4 linked regions of the Canis lupus familiaris genome follow. The protein of the gene in region 4 interacts with the protein of the main gene of each other region in a pairwise test. Links are inferred from orthologs where the notes say so. Each region holds a gene or a part of one and is shown on either strand. Other genes may lie near its edges. The genes, in order: RCN3, HDX, GLIS3 and SUFU.

Region 1 (3,889 bases), on a different chromosome or scaffold from region 4:
TTTAAAAAAGGTTTTATTTATTCATGAGAGACACAGAGAGAGAGGCAGAGACACAGGCAGAAGGAGAAGCAGGCTCCCTGCGGGGAGCCAGATGCAGGACTCTATCCTGGGACTCCAGGATCATGACCTGAGCTGAAGGCGGCGCTAAACCGCTGAGCCACCGGGCTGCCCAGGGAGTTGCTTCTTAATGGGAAAAGGGTCTCCCTTTGGGGGGATGGAAATGTTCTGGGTGGATGTGGTTGCTGCGAACACTGTGAAGATTCTAAATGCCACTAATGGTGGCTTTATGTTATGTGCTTTTTACCACAATTTAAAAATTGTTTAAAGCTCATTTATTTATTTAAATCTTTAAATTTTTATTTATTTATTTAAGTTATCTCTCCTTCCAACATAGAGCTCAAACACACAACTACCACCCCACCCTTCAATCAAGAGTCAAATGCTAGGATACCTGGGTGGCTCAGTGGCTGAGTGTCTTTCTGCTTTTCCCCGCAGGGAGCCCGCTTCTCCCTCTTCCTATGTCTCTGCCTCTCTCTCTCTCTCTCTGTGTTTCTCATGAATAGATAAAATCTTTAAAAAACAACAACAAAAACAAAGAGTCAAATGCTCTTCCAACAGAGCCAGCCAGACACCCCTTATTTTTTGTTTTTATTTTTTAAGCTTACGTTTTGAATCTTTGTAAGTTTTTCTCCACAAGTTAAAAAAACCTACGACAGCTCCCGTCTACTGTTGCCATCACTTCCTGGAAGAAAATATGACTTAGAACCACTAAAAAAAAAGGGGGGTTCTCTGCACTCACTGTTCTGGAAAGCTTACTGAGTGTCCAGCACCTGCTCTGTCTTTGGTGACATCCTTGTGACAGCTGCCTGGCCTGGTCCCTGAGGAGAGGAAGGCATTCTGTACTTATCATGGTCTTGGATCTGGTATAGAGACCTTCATACTTTTTATTGGGTGGTAATGTCTTCCAAACCCATCTGTGGGCTGCTTTCTCCCAGACAGCCCCTAGCGGCAAGGTTAGGGGAAGAGTTTTTCAAACGTTTACAAGTAACGGAAACAAATGAGAGGCTCCAACAATCCTGAGTGAAGTTCTTATTTATTTATTTATTTATTTAAAAATTTAAAAAATTTTAAAAGATTTTCTTTATTTGAGAGAGCATGAGAGAGAGAGAGAGAGAGAGAGAGAGAGCAAGCGCATGAGAGCCATGAGGGTCAGAGAGAGAAGCAGACTCCCCACTGAGCAGGCAGCTGGATGCGGGGCTAGATCTGGATCTGGGGGACTCCAGATCACGCCCTGAGCCAAGGGCAGCTGCCCAACCAACCAAACAACCCAGGCACCCCGATTTTTTTTTTTAATTTAAGTTCAGGGTCACCTGGGTGGCTCAGTGGTTGAGTGTCTGCCTTTGGCTCAGGGCGTAATCCTGGGGTGCTGGGATCAAGTCGCACATCAGGCTCCCTGCGGGGAGCCTGGTCTCTCTCTGCCTGTGTCTCTGCCTCTCTCTGTGTCTCTCATGAATAAATAAAAAGTAAAATCTTTAAAAAAATTTAAATTCAATTTGCCAACATATAGTATAAGACCCAGTGCTCATCAACATCACGGGCCCTCTGTACTGCCCAGCACACAGTTCTTAAAGTGGGGTGAGCTGTTCTAAGGGTTGGGGTGTGACTGTGTGCACTGCACAACAAGGGACACGCAGCATTTCCTATGTGTTATCAGGCCAACTGACTGACAGCTAGTTGAGGAAATGATCCATCAGTCAAGTAATTTTCCTTGTGGCAGGGCGATCACCTGTCAGTCCGGTGTCACTATCAATCCCATTCAAACAGAAGAGGGAACCGAGGCGAGAGAGAAAGCAAAGGGGGCAGCCCGGGGTTCTGGGGTCTGGGATGGGGTCTGGGATTGGGAGGCGTCAGGGCAGGGACAGAGCCCCGGGGTGCCCACCAGAACTGCCTGACGTCGCCCCTTCTTGCCTGGCCCAGCGGATCTGTATTCAGCCGAGCCCGGGGAGGAGGAGCCGGCCTGGGTCCAGACCGAGCGGGAGCAATTCCGGGACTTCCGCGATCTGAACAAGGATGGGCGGCTGGACGGCAGCGAGGTGGGCCACTGGGTGCTACCCCCGGCCCAGGACCAGCCGCTGGTGGAGGCCAACCACCTGCTACATGAGAGCGACACGGACAAGGTGCCCCAGGGGGCTGCTGTGCAGAAATGCCCAGACCTGGGCCCCCCAGACCCAGGATGGGGGTAGGGATGGGGGGGAGGGGGCCTGTTAGGGCAGGGATTAAAAGAGGAATAGAGAGACCCAGGGAGGGAGTGGAGGAAAGGTAGGGGACAGGGACCCAGAAAGCCGTGGGCTGGAGAGGTTCAGAGAGGAGTGTCACAGGCAGGGCCCCTTGTCCCCCCTGCTGACCTGTGACCCTCCCTCCAGGATGGGCGTTTGAGCAAGGCCGAGATCCTGAGTAACTGGAACATGTTCGTGGGCAGCCAGGCCACCAACTACGGCGAGGACCTGACACGTCACCATGATGAGCTCTGAGCCCCAGGCCCCAGGGCGCCCACTACGAGCCTTGTAGCCCCACAGGGTGACCCAAGGAGGGGCCCCCGTGGCCAGGCCCCCCTCCCCATCTGGACCTGTAGCATGTGGACACCTCTATCCACCCTGTGTCCCTCTGCCCGAGCTCTCAGGGACACAGCAGGTCAACTTCTCCAAGATACTGCAGCACCCCCAGCCCTTCCCACCCCACCCTCAGGAGGCTCAGAGACCCAAAGGGTAAGTGAACATCTGTTTCTCATTGGCAGAATCATCCAGCCCAGCCCAGGGCTCCCCCCAATACCAAGCTCAGCCTCCAAGAGCCTCCACTGAGCACCCCAGCTCCAAATCTGAGCCTCAGATCACACAGCAGAGAAACACCCCACCTCACTGGCCTCAGACTCGCCTGCCCCCCGGCCCTGCCCCCAGGATGCCTCCTCTCTGCCAGGGAGGCAATAAACTCCAGTGCTGGGGCCTCGTCTCTGTGTCTCTAAGGGGGCGACAGGGGCCTTGGGGAGGAATTGGGGGCTGTGGCTGGGGATGGAGGGGCTGTGGACTGCAGGGTTCAGACATTCGAAGAGGGGGTTAAGGGGGTTGGCAGGATTTGAGGGCATTCCTGGAGACAATAAAACTAGGCAACCGGACTCAGCGGGGAACAAGCCAGACAGACGGCTCTGCCCTCTGGAAAGCACAGGATGGCAGTGCTCCGTTGAGTGGCCAGGAGGGGCCTTACTGGTGAGCAGAATGAGGAAGTAAGCCCTGGGGAGGCCTGGAGGGAGAGCCAGAGGGCAGAAGGAACAGCAAAGGGCTCTGAAGCCAGAGTGTGCCCCGTGTGTGTGCTCAGATCAACCAGGAGGCCAGTGTGGCTGGAATGGAGTCAGCAAGTGAGAGAGGAAGGGAGGTGACCGAGATTAGGTCATACAGGGTCTTAAGGAGAGGAGTAGATGTGAGCCACCTTGCTGCTGAGTTGGGACAGAAGGACAGGATATTATGGGCCCTTCTGCAGCCCCATGAGACCTACTCGTTAAATTTTCCTCTAGAAGGGAGCTTGGGTGGCTCTGTTGGTTAAGCGTCTGCCTCCAGCTTAGGTCATGATCCTGGGGTCCTGGGATTGAGCCCCATATTGGGCTCTCTGCTCAGTAGGGAGTTTGCTTCTCTCTCTCCTTCTACTGCTCCCCTGCTTGTGCTCTCTAGCACTCTCTCTGTGTCAAATAAAATCTGCAAAAAACAAAACAACACAAAACCTAAAAAACACAAACCCTTTCAACATATTCTCCTGAGGGCGCCTGGGTGGCTCAGTCAGTTGAGCATCTGACTTAACCTCAGCTCAGGTCTTAATCTCAGGATCATGAGTTCAAGCCACA
Region 2 (4,504 bases), on a different chromosome or scaffold from region 4:
TTACTTTAAATTTTACTCTGAACAACTCTTCCTATAAATATTTTTAAAACTCGATCAATCTTCCATTTGATGTTTTAACAGGGCATTTATTTTTAGATAAAGCAATTGGCTGAGCTATTGTATTCTCTGACTTCTTTACCATTATCTCTTGGGGAAATGACTGACTTACCTTGCCAAACTACCACTTTGAAGCAAAAAAAAAATCTCAAATTACTTCAAAATATGAGTTAAGTGAGCCAAGTCTCATGTTTAACTGGATATCAAGTGCAGCTTTTTATTCCAAAGAAAACTTTTTAAAAACTTATAGAATAAATGTATACATTACCTGGTAATTGTTTTGGTTTTGTGATAACCTCAGCTGGTTTGATGAAGCAAAATGCGATGAAAAATTACTCCGTGATGGATTTGTATTACTGTACATTGTAGTAGCTACTGTATGTAATGAGGTCCGTGGTGTCAAATGGTAGTCTCTGTTTTGATACAGTACATTGTCTGAAAAATCTCTAATATTTACCATTTGGGAATTTGGCATATTTCTTCCTGGTCCAGGCAATGCAGTACTTTGGTTCTCTGCTCCATGGGATCTACCACTTTCATAAAATCTTGAGTAGCTTGGTATCTGTGCTCCCATCAATGCCAACTCTTCCTCTTTGGCATATTCATCATCAGCATCTCCAGTCTCCATTGCAATGGACAAACAAGTTCCTTCTGCTGAACTATGCTTCTGTGGGGCATTTCCTCCTAGAATTCTCTGGGGGTAGTCACTAACAGCCAATGAAAATACTTCGCGGATTTCCAAGTTTTGTGTTCTACAGTAAGGGTCTCTAATAGGTGGCTTTTGTCCACATAAGTTATGTGAAGCTAGACCTGTGTGTTCGGGCTTATATGACCTTTGAATTCCAACTGGTTCAATTTTGCAAGGTCGGTGGCATTCAGATGGCTTTTGAGGTACCATCATCTCAGAGGCTTGCATTGAAGAGCTTCCATAGTTTTTCTTGGTGTGGCTGTATACTGAGTTTCCAGCATTTAGCACACTTGTCTGTCTTGATAAGATAATTGTTTTTTCACCTAAGAGCAGAGAGGCATTTTTACAGTGTGCTACTTGTCTTTGAACAGGAATGTGCAACTGAAACTCAGTATCATTTTTACTGGCTGTTTTCTGAACAGGAATTTTATGTGCTTCTGTAAGTTGTGTATCTGAAAGTTTGGTTGTCACTTGCCTACTTGATGAACTTGCCGGACTGTATGTACCAGTTACAATGACATCATTATTGGCAGATGTCCAAGAAGACTGTTGGCTTGAGGGTCTAGTGATGTTAACTACATTTCTGACTGTAATGTCTGGAGCTGTCAAAGAGGTACCAGCAAGTGTTCCTGTTGTTGCTCCTGATTCAGAATTCTTACTACTCATTTTTCTTCTCTTATTGCCAACCCACGTCTGTAAGGATAAAAAATGACAATATAAAAATGTTCTTAACAAAAACAATAAGAAAAAACACTTCCAATGTGATAAACTGTACTCTCATTTGTCATAGGAATAAGTCCTATACAAATTTAAAACAAAAAAGATATAATAAAAGAAAAAGTAACTAAAGTATAAGATTAAAAAATAAAAATAAATAAAGTATAAGGTCAGACAAGAGCTTACTCTTAACAAATATCTAGGAACTTTGATAACAGAATTGTATTATTGCTTCTTTCCTCAAAATCCATTCAATTAATCTGTAGCAAGAATCCTAAAAATGTTTATATCCCTTGACCTAGTAAATCCGTTTCTAGGAATTTATCCTAAAAATAATCATAGATATATACAAAGTTTATATGCAATTAAGTTCGTCATATATTTATTTATAATAGTGAAAAATTGGAAGCATACTAAAAGTAGGATGCTTACCAAGATTGGAAAATGCTCAGAGTATTATTAAATAACTATATACTTGTAATCTTCAGGTTTGACAACTTCTGTTCTACAAATATATCATAACTTGGTTAATTTATTTATCGCTAGATACTAATGGGTTATTTTAGAAGTATTCACTATTATAAATGATACTGAAATACATGTCACTGTATGTGCATCTTTGTGCTACTGGTCCATTAGAATGCTATCCTAGAAGGGAAAGTGTTGGGCATTTTGATACTTTCAAAGTACCCTCCGATGTATGAGTTCTGGTTTCCCTACACCCTCAACAACATTTTGCGTTATCTTTTTGTAGTCTTTAGTAGCCTAGGATTAAATATAAGGTATATAATCACTGTTTTCATTGGAATTTCTATGGTTACTATATTACTTTAATAAACTGTCTATCCATTAACTTTACTCATTTTTACATTGGAGTATTTATCTTTTTAAATTGATATATAAAACAATTTTTTACTAGAGATAGCAACACTTCATCACAAGTTACAAATACTTCTCCCAGTTTGTCATTAATTTATGGTAGTTATTTCCTTCTTTATAGTTCTCTCTACCTACCAAATTTTATATAGTAAATGTGTATTACTTTTATAAACAGAAAAATCATTATTAATAAAATAATAAAATAGGTTGGCATTTAGGTTTAATTTAAAAATATGTACTTTTATATAAGTAATTTGTTTTAACAATCACAGTGATATTACACTGAATCATAATTATGCAATAAGAAATATGCTCTAAGAAATACATTCCATAATGTGATCAGTAAACTTTGTAACTATTTCAAAATGCGTACCATATTTATAAACTACCAAAACACATTAATCTATTATATTTTTTTAAAAAAATAAAATAAGTGAAAATATTAAATGAACTAAACTACCACAAACATGGTGCAGGGTGTATTTGTTAACTTTTATGTGACGTGTTTTTGAAGACCACAAAAATTACTCAGTTTTTGATGCTTACACCATTAATGTTGCTGTAATTCTACAAATAAAAGCTAACATATATTGAATCCCCATTATGTGTTTATATATATTAGCTTATTTGATTATTCTTCCTAATTGTATAAATGAAAAAAAATGGGGTTCAGAAGTATTAAGTAGCATATAGAAGGATAACGTGTCAGCAGGTGTTGGAGCAAGGATTCAAAATCAATTTTACTTGACCTCAAAGCAAAATCTCCTTCCACTAATGCAAGAAACTCCTGAAATGGTCATCTTTATTGGCCATTTTACTTTTATAATTAGTATTTCTCTAACAAGGAAAATATTCTAGAGATATAGATGCTCTATTTTGCTTCACATGAGGCTGTGGGAATTTTAAACTCATTCTAATTTAGTTTTATTAAACAGCAGAGGTGAGAATTACAAGCAGAGGAACAAAGAAATAAAATGTCAAAGGAGAATGAGGCAGAGTAGAAAAAGTGAAAGGTTTTAAAGTATATACTCGAAATATTTTTGGATAAATATAATTTCAAGGTATGATTTAAAAAGGTGAATTTTACAAATATTCAAAATAAGTTACTCTCTTATGGTTTTTCAAGTTTGAAAAACATGCATAGGAAGTATAATGTGTTTGTTCATAATTTTTTAAAATGTACAATCATTACACTCAGAAACTTTCAGTGGGATGGCATAGTGAATTTGTAAAATTTTAACTCAAGGACTACTAAATCTGGAAGGTAGCTCTGGGCAATATTTCTAAGAAAACAAATAAACGTCCTCTAATATAACTACCTTAATGCAGGAAGTTTAAGAGTGATCTTAGTGAATAGTTTTACATAAAATATTAAATAAGCCATAAATTTGCAATCTAAATATAGAAATATACATATATAGAAATGCTTAGTATATATAGTATATGGTATGCATAATATATATACATATAGACATATATAGAAATATACAGTATATACAATGTGTATATTTCTATATATATGTATATTTCTAAATATAGTAATTTATGTAGTTTTTATTTTTTAAATAATAAATTTATTTTTTATTGGTGTTCAATTTGCCAACATACAGAATAACACCCAGTGCTCATCCTGTCAAGTGCCCCCCTCAGTGCCCGTCACCCATTCTCCCCCACTCCCCGCCCTCCTCCCCTTCCACCACCCCTAGTTCATTTTCCAGAGTTAAGAGTCTTTATGTTCTATCTCCCTTTCTGATATTTCCTACCCATTTTTAGATATTTATATTACATACTCATCAAAAAGTAAAACGCAGTAGCGTATCACATGCATATGAAGCTCAGCTATCTAACAATTTCATTTGTCTAGAACAGACAATATAGATATCACAAGATACATGTACTTTACTAAAGCACAATCGTCCACCTTAAAACACACTTCCTCTTATTTTATACATTATTTCACCAAATCTGGTATTCTAATCTATAACAAATTAGAAATAACAAAATAAGTAGAGCATTGGTGATAGAGATTGCAATTGGAGGCAACTTGATAGCACCGAAATGGAATGTCCATGATATTTTGCTCATTAAAAAGGGGAAGTAAAAAAAAGGAGAAGTAAGGAAAACATAAGAGAATTAATGTGAGAAATAATTAGTTTGTTGTTC
Region 3 (4,504 bases), on a different chromosome or scaffold from region 4:
AATGACTATTCCAGCTGCTGGCAATTTTATTTGGTAGTGTACCCACCTAATACAAACAACTAAAACCAAATGCTAAAAATACCTACCAGTATATGTAATTGTGCTATTTTATGTAACCAAGCTATATTTCACATGAGATATATATTCTTTCTTTTTTTCTAGCCCAAATACACATTTCATGTGCAACATCACTCATTACGTCAACATCAGTTCCTATAGACAGAGTGTGTCATTCGAATAATTTGTTATTCTCCAACAATTCCGTAATATTTTTAACAATTCCGTAATTTAAAATACATGTTATTCAAACATTACTGAACTAAAAGCACGTTCTCTCTGCACTTCAAATTAACCAAGTTTTCTAGTTCTTCACAAGCCCCAAAATACATCGTTTCATTATTCTCTTCTGGCTTCCTTCCCTCTTGTCACCAGCTAAACTATAAAACTTATATGAGTCTTGCTCTTGGAATAATTTTTTATCATTTCTATGTATGAATTCCTCACTCTATTCGCTGTTAAACCTTCCCCCTTCTTATCCTTTTCCTTCCAAACTTTCCTTCTAGCACCCAACCCACATCATGATGGCTCTGGCCGCCCCTCTGCTCTGTGGCCCAAGGAATCCAGTCCCTTTGTACATCCTGAGGTTAGGGGCTTCCTAAACTGGCTCCTGCCCTCCACCACCACCACCCACCCTCACTCCCTATGTCTGATCTTTCTGTCTCACCTTTTGCTCTGCTCCACAGCCCCATGAGGTACCACATTTACCCCTGTGGTCTCCTTACCCTCACACAAGTACACATCCATCCCCGTACCAAGAAAGCTACATATCATTAAGAGACTATCAGCTTTGACCCTTACATTCAATCATGTGTTTTTCCATAAGATTTGCTGGCAGAGAAGGATCTGGAGAGGAGAAAAAAAATCGTTTCCACTTTTAAAAGATCCCAGAAAGACAATCCTACCTTTCCCAGGATTTGGAGGAAAAGGATTTCCAAACTCCTGCTGCTTTGGCTTTAAAGTGTGTGGCCCTGACATGCCTCCAGCCTGGGTGACCTGGTATCGTGGCTTCCCATTGGTGAGCACTTGTCTCCTGGGGCTCAAGGCGGGCAGATGGAGGGGGCTCTCGGCCATGTTGCTCTGAGGAGCCATCCCTCCTCCCGAGGGCATCTTGAGATGGAGGCTGTTACCAAGGCTTCCGATGGCAGGGCTTGCTGTGCTGCCACAGGACGTGGGGCCAGGAGTCCCAGAGTGGGCTCGGATGGGAGGAATGTGTTGGCCACTGACCATCCCAGGCCCCTGTGGGGTTCCTGATGTCCGGTGGAGACTCATGCTGCATGACCTTCCATTCATTCTGAAAAAACCTGTGGCCAGGATGGTCAAATATCCAATGGCACTAATGACTCCTTTCAGGCAAAGTCCAATAAGTTATCCATGGTGTGGGTTATTAGCCTGTTTAAAAAAATAAATACAGGCATTTTTAAAAGTAAAAATGAAACTAAGTCACAGTGAGTTTTCAACCTGTGTAGCATTCATATCAGGAAGAAAAGAAGCACTCTTAGCAAAACAGCCTTTTATGTAAAGCAGGGTCATCAAATACATGGTTCATTGGCAGGCACTCTCCCCTCCTGCATTCATGGTAGACATGGATTATGGATCACTGTATTGTTTTGTTTGCCACTGAGCCCTTCTCAATACAGTGCTCTTGGCAACTACAACCGATCAACTGGTGCCAGCTTGCAAAGTGAAACTTATTTGGCTCCCTAGAAGATCTGTCCATACTAGTTCACTTTTGCTACAGTGAGTCTTGGGAAATCCAAAGCATCACCTTTGCGAGCTGTGAGACCAATGCTCCAAAGTTTCCAGTAAACAAGCAAAAGGCAGATATGGCCTCTAAATGAAATTATGGGGATATTAAACCACTCTCTGATTTTTATTGTAAGAGCAAAATTTTCACAGTCCCTAGACTCACGTAAGATAAAAATAGGGGCTTGGGATTCTCACAAAGACGTCATATAACCACATATCCAAATACAGCAGCATCAGAGTCTTGGTTCCATAATGATTCTGAGTTATGGGGATGGAAAAAGAATCAACACCACAATACTCTCACCTTCTATTAAGATCCTAGAAAAGGAAAAGTCTCTGCAAAACACTTCATGGAAAGCATAATGAAAGAAGGAGGCAATTATGTTCACCATACACACCACACATAGTAAATCAACCATAGTTCCACAAACATGGTTTCATCTGCCACCCCACCGCCACCTTCCTCAAGTGACAAAGAAAGAACCAACAGCACTAGTATCACCACAGGACACCATTATCCATCTGTATATCATAACGTCAGTACTCTCTGGCTACAAATCTTTAGGAAAGGCCCTTCCCTCCCTTAACCAAAAGCTCATAAAATGTGTATAGAGTCAAGGAGGTGACTAAGTGCCACTATTCCAAATGAATGACAAACATAGTCACAATCTGTATTCTTTTACACAGATATGATTGTCATGCAAAGAAGCCAAAGCTGAACAAATATAGGAGATATGGCTGAGTACACGGTGGTAGTAGTCAGATATTCTCTACTGGATGATTCCTACGTTTTCTCTAGGATCCACTCAATGTCTTAGACAAATATTTCCAACCAACTCTCAAATAAATGGCTCCATCAGCCATCAGGGACAGAATATTGAAGGGAAAACTCTCTGTGAAGAAGATTTTTTTTTTCATTTATCCTTTTGGAAAATCAAAAGATTTGATTTTCAAGTCAAGCACTCACTCTGCCCTCTGCAAAGTTTAGTGTGTGCCCAAATGTTGAGAAACTTCAAAAATTATTAACAATATAACATTTGGAATGTTTCCCTCGCCTTTACCAATTTTCTACTTTATTAAGAATTCTATCAGTCCAGCATATTTCATATGGCCACACCATTCAATCCTGAGAAACACTCTGAGCCCCTGCTCCTGCCCTTCCTTCCATTACAGTCCCCAAGAACGGACAAGGAAAGCCAGCCTACCCAAACTTTATCACTTTGAGTTATTTCATGGAACAATAAGAAATAAACCCTAGTACTAAACGGGTTGTAAGATTTTGGTTTTTTACATTGGGAAAATTCCCAATGCCTTTCCAGCTGTGTCCATTTAAGAACTCCAGTGAATTATCATCTGGTCTGTTGAGTCGTGGGTTGACTGTGACCAAGAATCATTTCATATCTCTGTGCTTTGCCAGAGGATGTTGGCCATCTATTCTTCACTCATTCATAAAATAGCATTTTCTGACTACTCTTAACCCTGCAAAAGAGAGGACTTACTCAGCACCAACCAAAAGAAGTAAGTATATATGTTGTATTGGCAATTTGTTGAAAATGAGGAATCATCCAACATGACTGGCATTATGAGCCATCATGAGTCCATGTGACAAGCATCTGTAGATTTACAGACTATGCCCCACTTCCAGTTTTTAAAAACAAAGGAGTCATTTTTGGCAGCAAGATCAATACAAGCAGGAATTCTCATCAAAAATCTGGATAAAAACACATAAGTAGGTACTTAGCATTAGGTTAGATCATTAATTAGGTTTGTGAGAAAAATAATGTGCTGAGAAGCTAATTAAGTATCAGATATTCATACCTGCCTGTCAAGCTGGACTTTTATTTTATTTTTAAACTGAACTCCTGTTTTAAATACCTTTAGATTGAAAGTAACAACAACAATAACAAAAATGCACTTAAATTTTATTACTAAAAAAGCAACAGCCAGAAAGCAAAGTGATGAATGCCATAAAGAAACACCAGTAAGGTGATGGCATACAAGCTAGGAAAACCAACCTCAAGACAAAATAATATAAACTCTGTGTGAAAATATGCTTAATAACCCAGTTCGCACATTAATCATGCCAATGGATCTTTCAAGCATTAGAGACAAGAATTTAAAAATCAATTTTATCTACTGGTATTAAAGTACTTTATATACTTTTTAGCAAGGCCATATGATCATTTATAGTCCTAAATCCCCGTGTTAACAAAAAAGCAATAAACTGCTAACTTTTAAGAAAGATACATCCTTATTTAATCAGAGTAAAAACAGCACTCAACTAGAAGTCAGGACACCTAAGTTCTACCTCTGGCAAATCATTTATAACTTCTCTGGCTTACAGTTTCCATCTATAAAACAGCTGATGATAATCAGTGCCATCTCTTGAAATTCTAATCTTCCAGATAATTAAGATAAGGAAGATTATCAAAGATACCCACTTAAGATGATCAAAGATAAATATGTAGATTTTATACCTATGACACTTAAGTCAAGAGGACAGGGTAGACATGAAAGCAAAAATAGTAACCTTCATCCACTCCATCAAAGCAAGAGCAGATAGGAGGTTCTCACATTAGCAGTGTGCTAAAAGACAACACTTACCTTGAAAAATGGATAACAAGGGATCCCTGGGTGGCGCAGCGGTTTGGCACCTGCCTTTGGCCCAGGGCGCAATCCTGGCGACCCGGGATCGAAT
Region 4 (5,114 bases):
CCTTAACTCTGATTTGACCAAATCATTTGAATGTTTCCACAACTAGTTGAATACAGAAAAGTTTGCTGGGGGAAGGAGGAAACATAGGGGTAGCTATCTCTGGAAGAACCACATGATAGCTGCAGAAGCCCAGAACAGATGGGAGTGACTACAAACTCCAGATCTGCTCCAGTTTCCTGCTGCAAATTCCCAGTCTTGCCCCTTTCAGCCTAAGTGCATCCAGCAACAAGTGGCAAAACTGTATCCACACTTCCATACTCCATCTGTCACACCTCTGCAGCCCTCTCTCAGGAGATACTGCATCAAGGATCGAGGCTTTATCTTAAAACTATAACTGTAAGGAATAACCAAGAGTCAGACAAAATTAACCTTGTCCCCAAGCACAGTGTTCTGTTCTACTTACTCAGACACCTGATGGGAAACAGATGATTATGTAGAAAATAATCATATCTTGCACTTAGAAAAATATGTTATCCAAGGACCCAGAGTATCCCTTGATGCTCTTCCTTGAACTTACTTCCTTGAACACCTAACTTCATTCCACATGACAGCTGTAGGACTGCAGTGGCTCCTGGGTACAAGCTCTGCCTCTGTGTTTCTGTTCCCTGCCCACTAAAGTATCAGCTTTCAGCCAGGATGTCCCTGCCGGCCAAGGTCCACTAGCCAAAGAACCAACCTTCTGTCACAAGAAAAGGAATCTCAAGGGACCGTGGGCCACAGCCAGACCCAGGTAGCCTTGGTCAGTCAAACTGCTAACGAGGCCTTGTGGCATCCCAAGTGTGATGTATATTAATGAATTAATTTCAGAATCTTAATTATGCAAACCCTTCCAAATCTTAGAAAGAACTAGTTGCTCAGCTGCTCCTTCTTATATTTTTCTGCATCTGGCCAGCATTTCTAATCTCACAAAGTACTCTTTATTAGTCATTACATGTTGGCCCATTTCTGAAGATAAGTCCTGCCTGGTTAACAAGCTTGCCCAAATCAGTCTTAGTCCTTTGCATGTGCTTTAATATCTTCTGCACACAATTCTATCCTTCATGGCCAACTGGGTGACATAAAAACAGTTGCCTAAGTCTGTGTAGGGATTTCTCTGTTCATTCAAATGAGACCTGAACCAACAGCATCGCAGAACCAGGCCCTCTTTCCCCATGACACAATCCAATACAGTTCATCACAACACATACTTAAATATAGGCAAGAAATGAGAATGGGTGATTAAGTTATCAAGAGCTGCTTTTCACTCAGAAGCTCTCTTCAAAAACTCCTCTCAACCAAAGAACAGTTTGCCTGCTGAAGAGAGAACTGTACCACTGGCCACATCTCCTCTGGCTACCAGACATGACCCTCTCATAGGAGGTGGCTGGTCCCCAGGCCCTGTCTCTTCATATTGTCCCACTGACACAGGCAACTGGCCTCAGCCCCAGACAGTCTAGTTTCTGCCATCTCCAGAGGAAGTTAAGAGGTTATCCTGGAGAAGCTTCCATCCTAAAAGAAGAGGTAACCAGCAAAGACATCCACTCTCTCAACCTCCCCCTTTGGGTCTACCTGCCCCCTTGGCACATCCCAAGCTTTTTTCTGAACAGTCTTTCAGGACTCAGTGAAGGGGATTATTTAATACAGTGCCTGCATGAATGCAGTTCTGGACAAATTCTACCAATTCCTCAGTCAATATGGTCCAGAAAGACCATGAAGACAGGCTCTTTGTCAGAGTCCCTCTAACACCTGTTTTGCCCAGTGGCTGTGAAAAGAGATAGGTTGCAAACAGGAATGGGAAACAAGAAAGGACCATTCCTACCCCAAGGGCAGGCCTTCTATGATCCTGAACAGAGCCACTTGAGGGTTACTCTCAGCTTCCCTGAGAGACTGTGGTCTAAATCCTGAAGCTTGGGGCCAGGAAGCCCCTCTAAACATCTGGCTGCACTTCTTTGCTCCGTGTCTCAGGTCTTCATCATTTACTGGGGTCCCCGGCAATCCTGAGCCAAACCATGGATCTATCTCCCTGACCGTGCCTCTGTTCTAGCCAATGTCCTAGGCAAAGCGGGTGCAGAGCCAAAGGAAGCTCTGCTTGGAGAAAGAGAACTGTGCCGAGTAAGCAGAAAGTTTATCAAGAAAAGTTGCTCCGTGAAACTTCAAACGCAAAAGCACTGCACCGATATGACTGACGTCTGAGCTCATGGGGAAGGTATCTTAAAAGGAGACCTCCTCTTCCTCTCTTCACAAGCACGACTCTCGCAACTTGCCTCCCTCCTAACCTATGGGAGAGCGGGGATCCCCAAATCCACCGTACCCTGTGCAGTCTCAAGCCCTCTGAGCTCGCCAGCCGCACTCCTCCAAAGCCCTCTCTTGTGCTCCCCAGGCCCCGCCTCGCCTCCCCCATCCCACTTCAGCCGCCCTTCTTCCCCCACCCCCGCCCCCGGCTTCCCTTAGCCCACTAATGACCCCCTACAGGCGCCCCCTCCTTTCACCACGTTTACAGTTCCCTTTCTCCTATCGGCCCCCCCCCCCGCTCCTACACACACACCCCCAATTCATTCTATTCTCCTAATCCCAGTTAACCCTTCATCCTCCCCCCTCGTTAACCCTCCTCTACCCAGAGGCTCCGTTAACCCCTTTGTCCCCGTTCCCAACTTCAGCCTTAACTCCTTGCCTCGCAGCAGGACGCCCTCTTTCCAAGTGCTTTAACCATTCTTCTCCACCTCCTCCTCCCCCGCAGATGACTTCGCCCCGGGCGTTCTAACCCTTCCCTGCCCGCCGTCGTCCGTCTCCCCGCGGCCCAGGGCATACCAGTACTTGACGATAGCGGTAACCTGGAGCGGGTTCGGCTGGTCAGGGTAAAGGCGACGGCACTCTCCGTAGATGGCGTGCAGTCCCGGGGGGAAGAGCGAGGCGAAGGCCGGGGGTGCACTAGGGCCAGGGGCCGGGGGCGCGGCGGGGCCGGGGGCGCCGCTAGGCCGCAGCTCCGCCATCCGGGCGCGTAGGGCGCTGGGGGGACCGGGGAGGGTGGACGAGGGGGAGAGCTCTGACGCGCCAGCAGGCGGACTCCGTGGGTGCGACTCCCCCAGGCGATGGGGGCTGCAGCGAGGTCTAGGCTCCGCGCCTGCGCACGGCGCACCGTCTGCCCAGGCCGTAGCCGCCGCAGAGACGGCCGGAGGGTGCCTCGGGGGCCGCGGAGCGCTCGGGGGGGCGGGGCGCCGGCGCGCCCTATCCCGGTATCCATTGGCTAGTGTCTGTGCCAGTCACAGATGGGGAAGGCGTGACTTGGCAATAGGTCCCGCCTCCCTCTCCGTGTGTGGGGGGGGTCCCAAGGCTCTTGGCCTCCCCCTAGTGTTAGGAGGAACCCAGATTTAAATAGAAATGTTGAGGCATCCTCAGGTGCTAGGGTCCCAGGAAAGCTGTGGGAAGCTCGCTGACGAACGACTTGTCGCTATTGTGCTGACACCCTGCTAACAAGAATTTAAGCACAAATTTGACAATAGTGGATTGATTCATTCGTCCATTTAGCGTGGCTTTAGTTGTAATAGATTATAAATCTGAATATTTCCTACCATCTTTGAATGTCCATTTACCATATTTACTGACACTAACCCCGCCAAATTCAGGGGTTGTATGTTGAAATATTTACTTTGGAGTCTTGTTAAAAAGTAGCAAGAGGGATCCCTGGGTGGCGCAGTGGTTTAGCGCCTGCCTTTGGCCCAGGGCGCGATCCTGGAGACCCGGGATCGAATCCCACGTCAGGCTCCCGGTGCATGGAGTCTGCTTCTCCCTCTGCCTGTGTCTCTGCCTCTCTCTCTCTCTCTCTCTCTCTCTATGACTATCATAAATAAATAAAAATTTAAAAAAATTAAAAAAAAAGTAGCAAGAAAAAAAAAAAGTAGCAGGAGTTAGGGACGCCTGAGTGGCTTAGTGATTGAACGTCTGCCTTTGACTCGGGGAATGGTCCCAGAGTTCTGGGATAGAGTCCCACATTGGGCTCCCTGTAGGCAGTCAGCTTCTCTCTCTCTACCTATGTCTCTGCCTCTCTCTCTGTGTGTCTCTCTTGAATAAATAAAATCTTTTTTTTTTTTTAAAGTAGCAAGGGCAGCCCCGGTGGTGCAGCGGTTTAGCGCCGTCTGCAGCCCAGGGCGTGATCCTGGAGACCCTGGATCGAGTCCCATGTCGGGCTCCCTGCGTGGAGCCTGCTTCTCCCTCTGCCTCTCTCTCTCTCTCTCTCTCTCTCTCTCTCACTCTGTGTCTCTATGAATAAATAAATAGAATCTTTAAAAAAAATTAAAAAGTAGGAAGAGTTAGGTAAACTAAGACTAGTTTTTAAAACTTGGTAATTTTTTGTCTTTATTTTTTTTAAGATTTTATTTATTTGAAAGAGAGAGAGAACAGTGGGGGAGAGAGGCAGAGGGAGAGGAAGAAGCAGACTCCCTACTGCTGGATCCCAGGATCCAGAGATCATGACCAGAGCTCAAGGCAGACACTTAACCTACTGAGTCACCCAGGCACCCCAAGACTTGGTAATTTTTAAAATAAATGCTTTTAGTGATGACAATCTCTTCTTTGTTCTGTTTTATGCAGATTGCCTTAAGGAACATCAATATTCATTATCTACTATAGACCTGCTCTTTCCCATTACCATTGGCTTTCTGTAACTGGGAGAATTTTTTGTTATTTTAAGTAATCTCTACATCCAATGTGGGGCTCGAAGTTACAACCCCCAGATTAAGAGCCATGTGTTCTCCCGATTTAGCGAGCCAGCCACCCCTGGGAGAATTTTTAATTCCTAAGCCACCTAGTTGAGAATTATTTTCCAGGGTACAATAAATAATTCCAAGAGAAAGGAATAAAAGGAAGTCCTAATTACCAGTGCTATTGACTAAAGGGTCTCCACTATTTGAACGGGAGGGATTGGTTCATCTAGAGAAAGATGCACTGGGCAGTGACACATAATTTCTCCTCACCTCCATTTTCTCATTTATCAATGTCAATTGTAACTCCCCATGAACATAAGAGATAATAAAGCAGTTCCTGAAGCTATTAAATAAATGATGTTTTTAGTGATCAAAAGATCACCTGTACCCAAATGCCAGTCTTCAGACCGATGTTGGCCTGTTGCAAAGTTTATA

The links.
Region 1: the proteins of SUFU (region 4) and RCN3 interact in binary tests that used the Homo sapiens proteins (3 or more experiments, as listed by UniProt). The two-hybrid records come from large-scale screens. The link is inferred for Canis lupus familiaris from reciprocal best matches to the Homo sapiens genes SUFU and RCN3.
Region 2: the proteins of SUFU (region 4) and HDX interact in binary tests that used the Homo sapiens proteins (3 or more experiments, as listed by UniProt). The link is inferred for Canis lupus familiaris from reciprocal best matches to the Homo sapiens genes SUFU and HDX.
Region 3: the proteins of SUFU (region 4) and GLIS3 interact in binary tests that used the Homo sapiens proteins (3 or more experiments, as listed by UniProt). The link is inferred for Canis lupus familiaris from reciprocal best matches to the Homo sapiens genes SUFU and GLIS3.

What each region holds. Positions count from the first base shown.
Region 1 is NC_049222.1:107,642,186-107,646,074, reverse strand, and holds the end of RCN3 (reticulocalbin-3), read left to right. Parts: intron 1-1,977; coding exon 1,978-2,177; intron 2,178-2,423; coding exon 2,424-2,531; 3' UTR 2,532-2,999; downstream 3,000-3,889. UniProt on the Homo sapiens protein: Probable molecular chaperone assisting protein biosynthesis and transport in the endoplasmic reticulum.
Region 2 is NC_049260.1:65,564,221-65,568,724, forward strand, and holds part of HDX (highly divergent homeobox), read right to left. Parts: intron 1,439-4,504; coding exon 326-1,438; intron 1-325.
Region 3 is NC_049222.1:93,382,915-93,387,418, forward strand, and holds part of GLIS3 (zinc finger protein GLIS3), read right to left. Parts: intron 4,473-4,504; exon of another isoform or gene 4,411-4,472; intron 1,450-4,410; 5' UTR 1,351-1,449; coding exon 963-1,350; intron 1-962. UniProt on the Homo sapiens protein: Acts both as a repressor and an activator of transcription. Binds to the consensus sequence 5'-GACCACCCAC-3'.
Region 4 is NC_049249.1:15,181,742-15,186,855, reverse strand, and holds the start of SUFU (suppressor of fused homolog), read right to left. Parts: upstream 3,151-5,114; 5' UTR 2,970-3,150; coding exon 2,788-2,969; intron 1-2,787. UniProt on the Homo sapiens protein: Negative regulator in the hedgehog/smoothened signaling pathway. Down-regulates GLI1-mediated transactivation of target genes. Down-regulates GLI2-mediated transactivation of target genes. Part of a corepressor complex that acts on DNA-bound GLI1.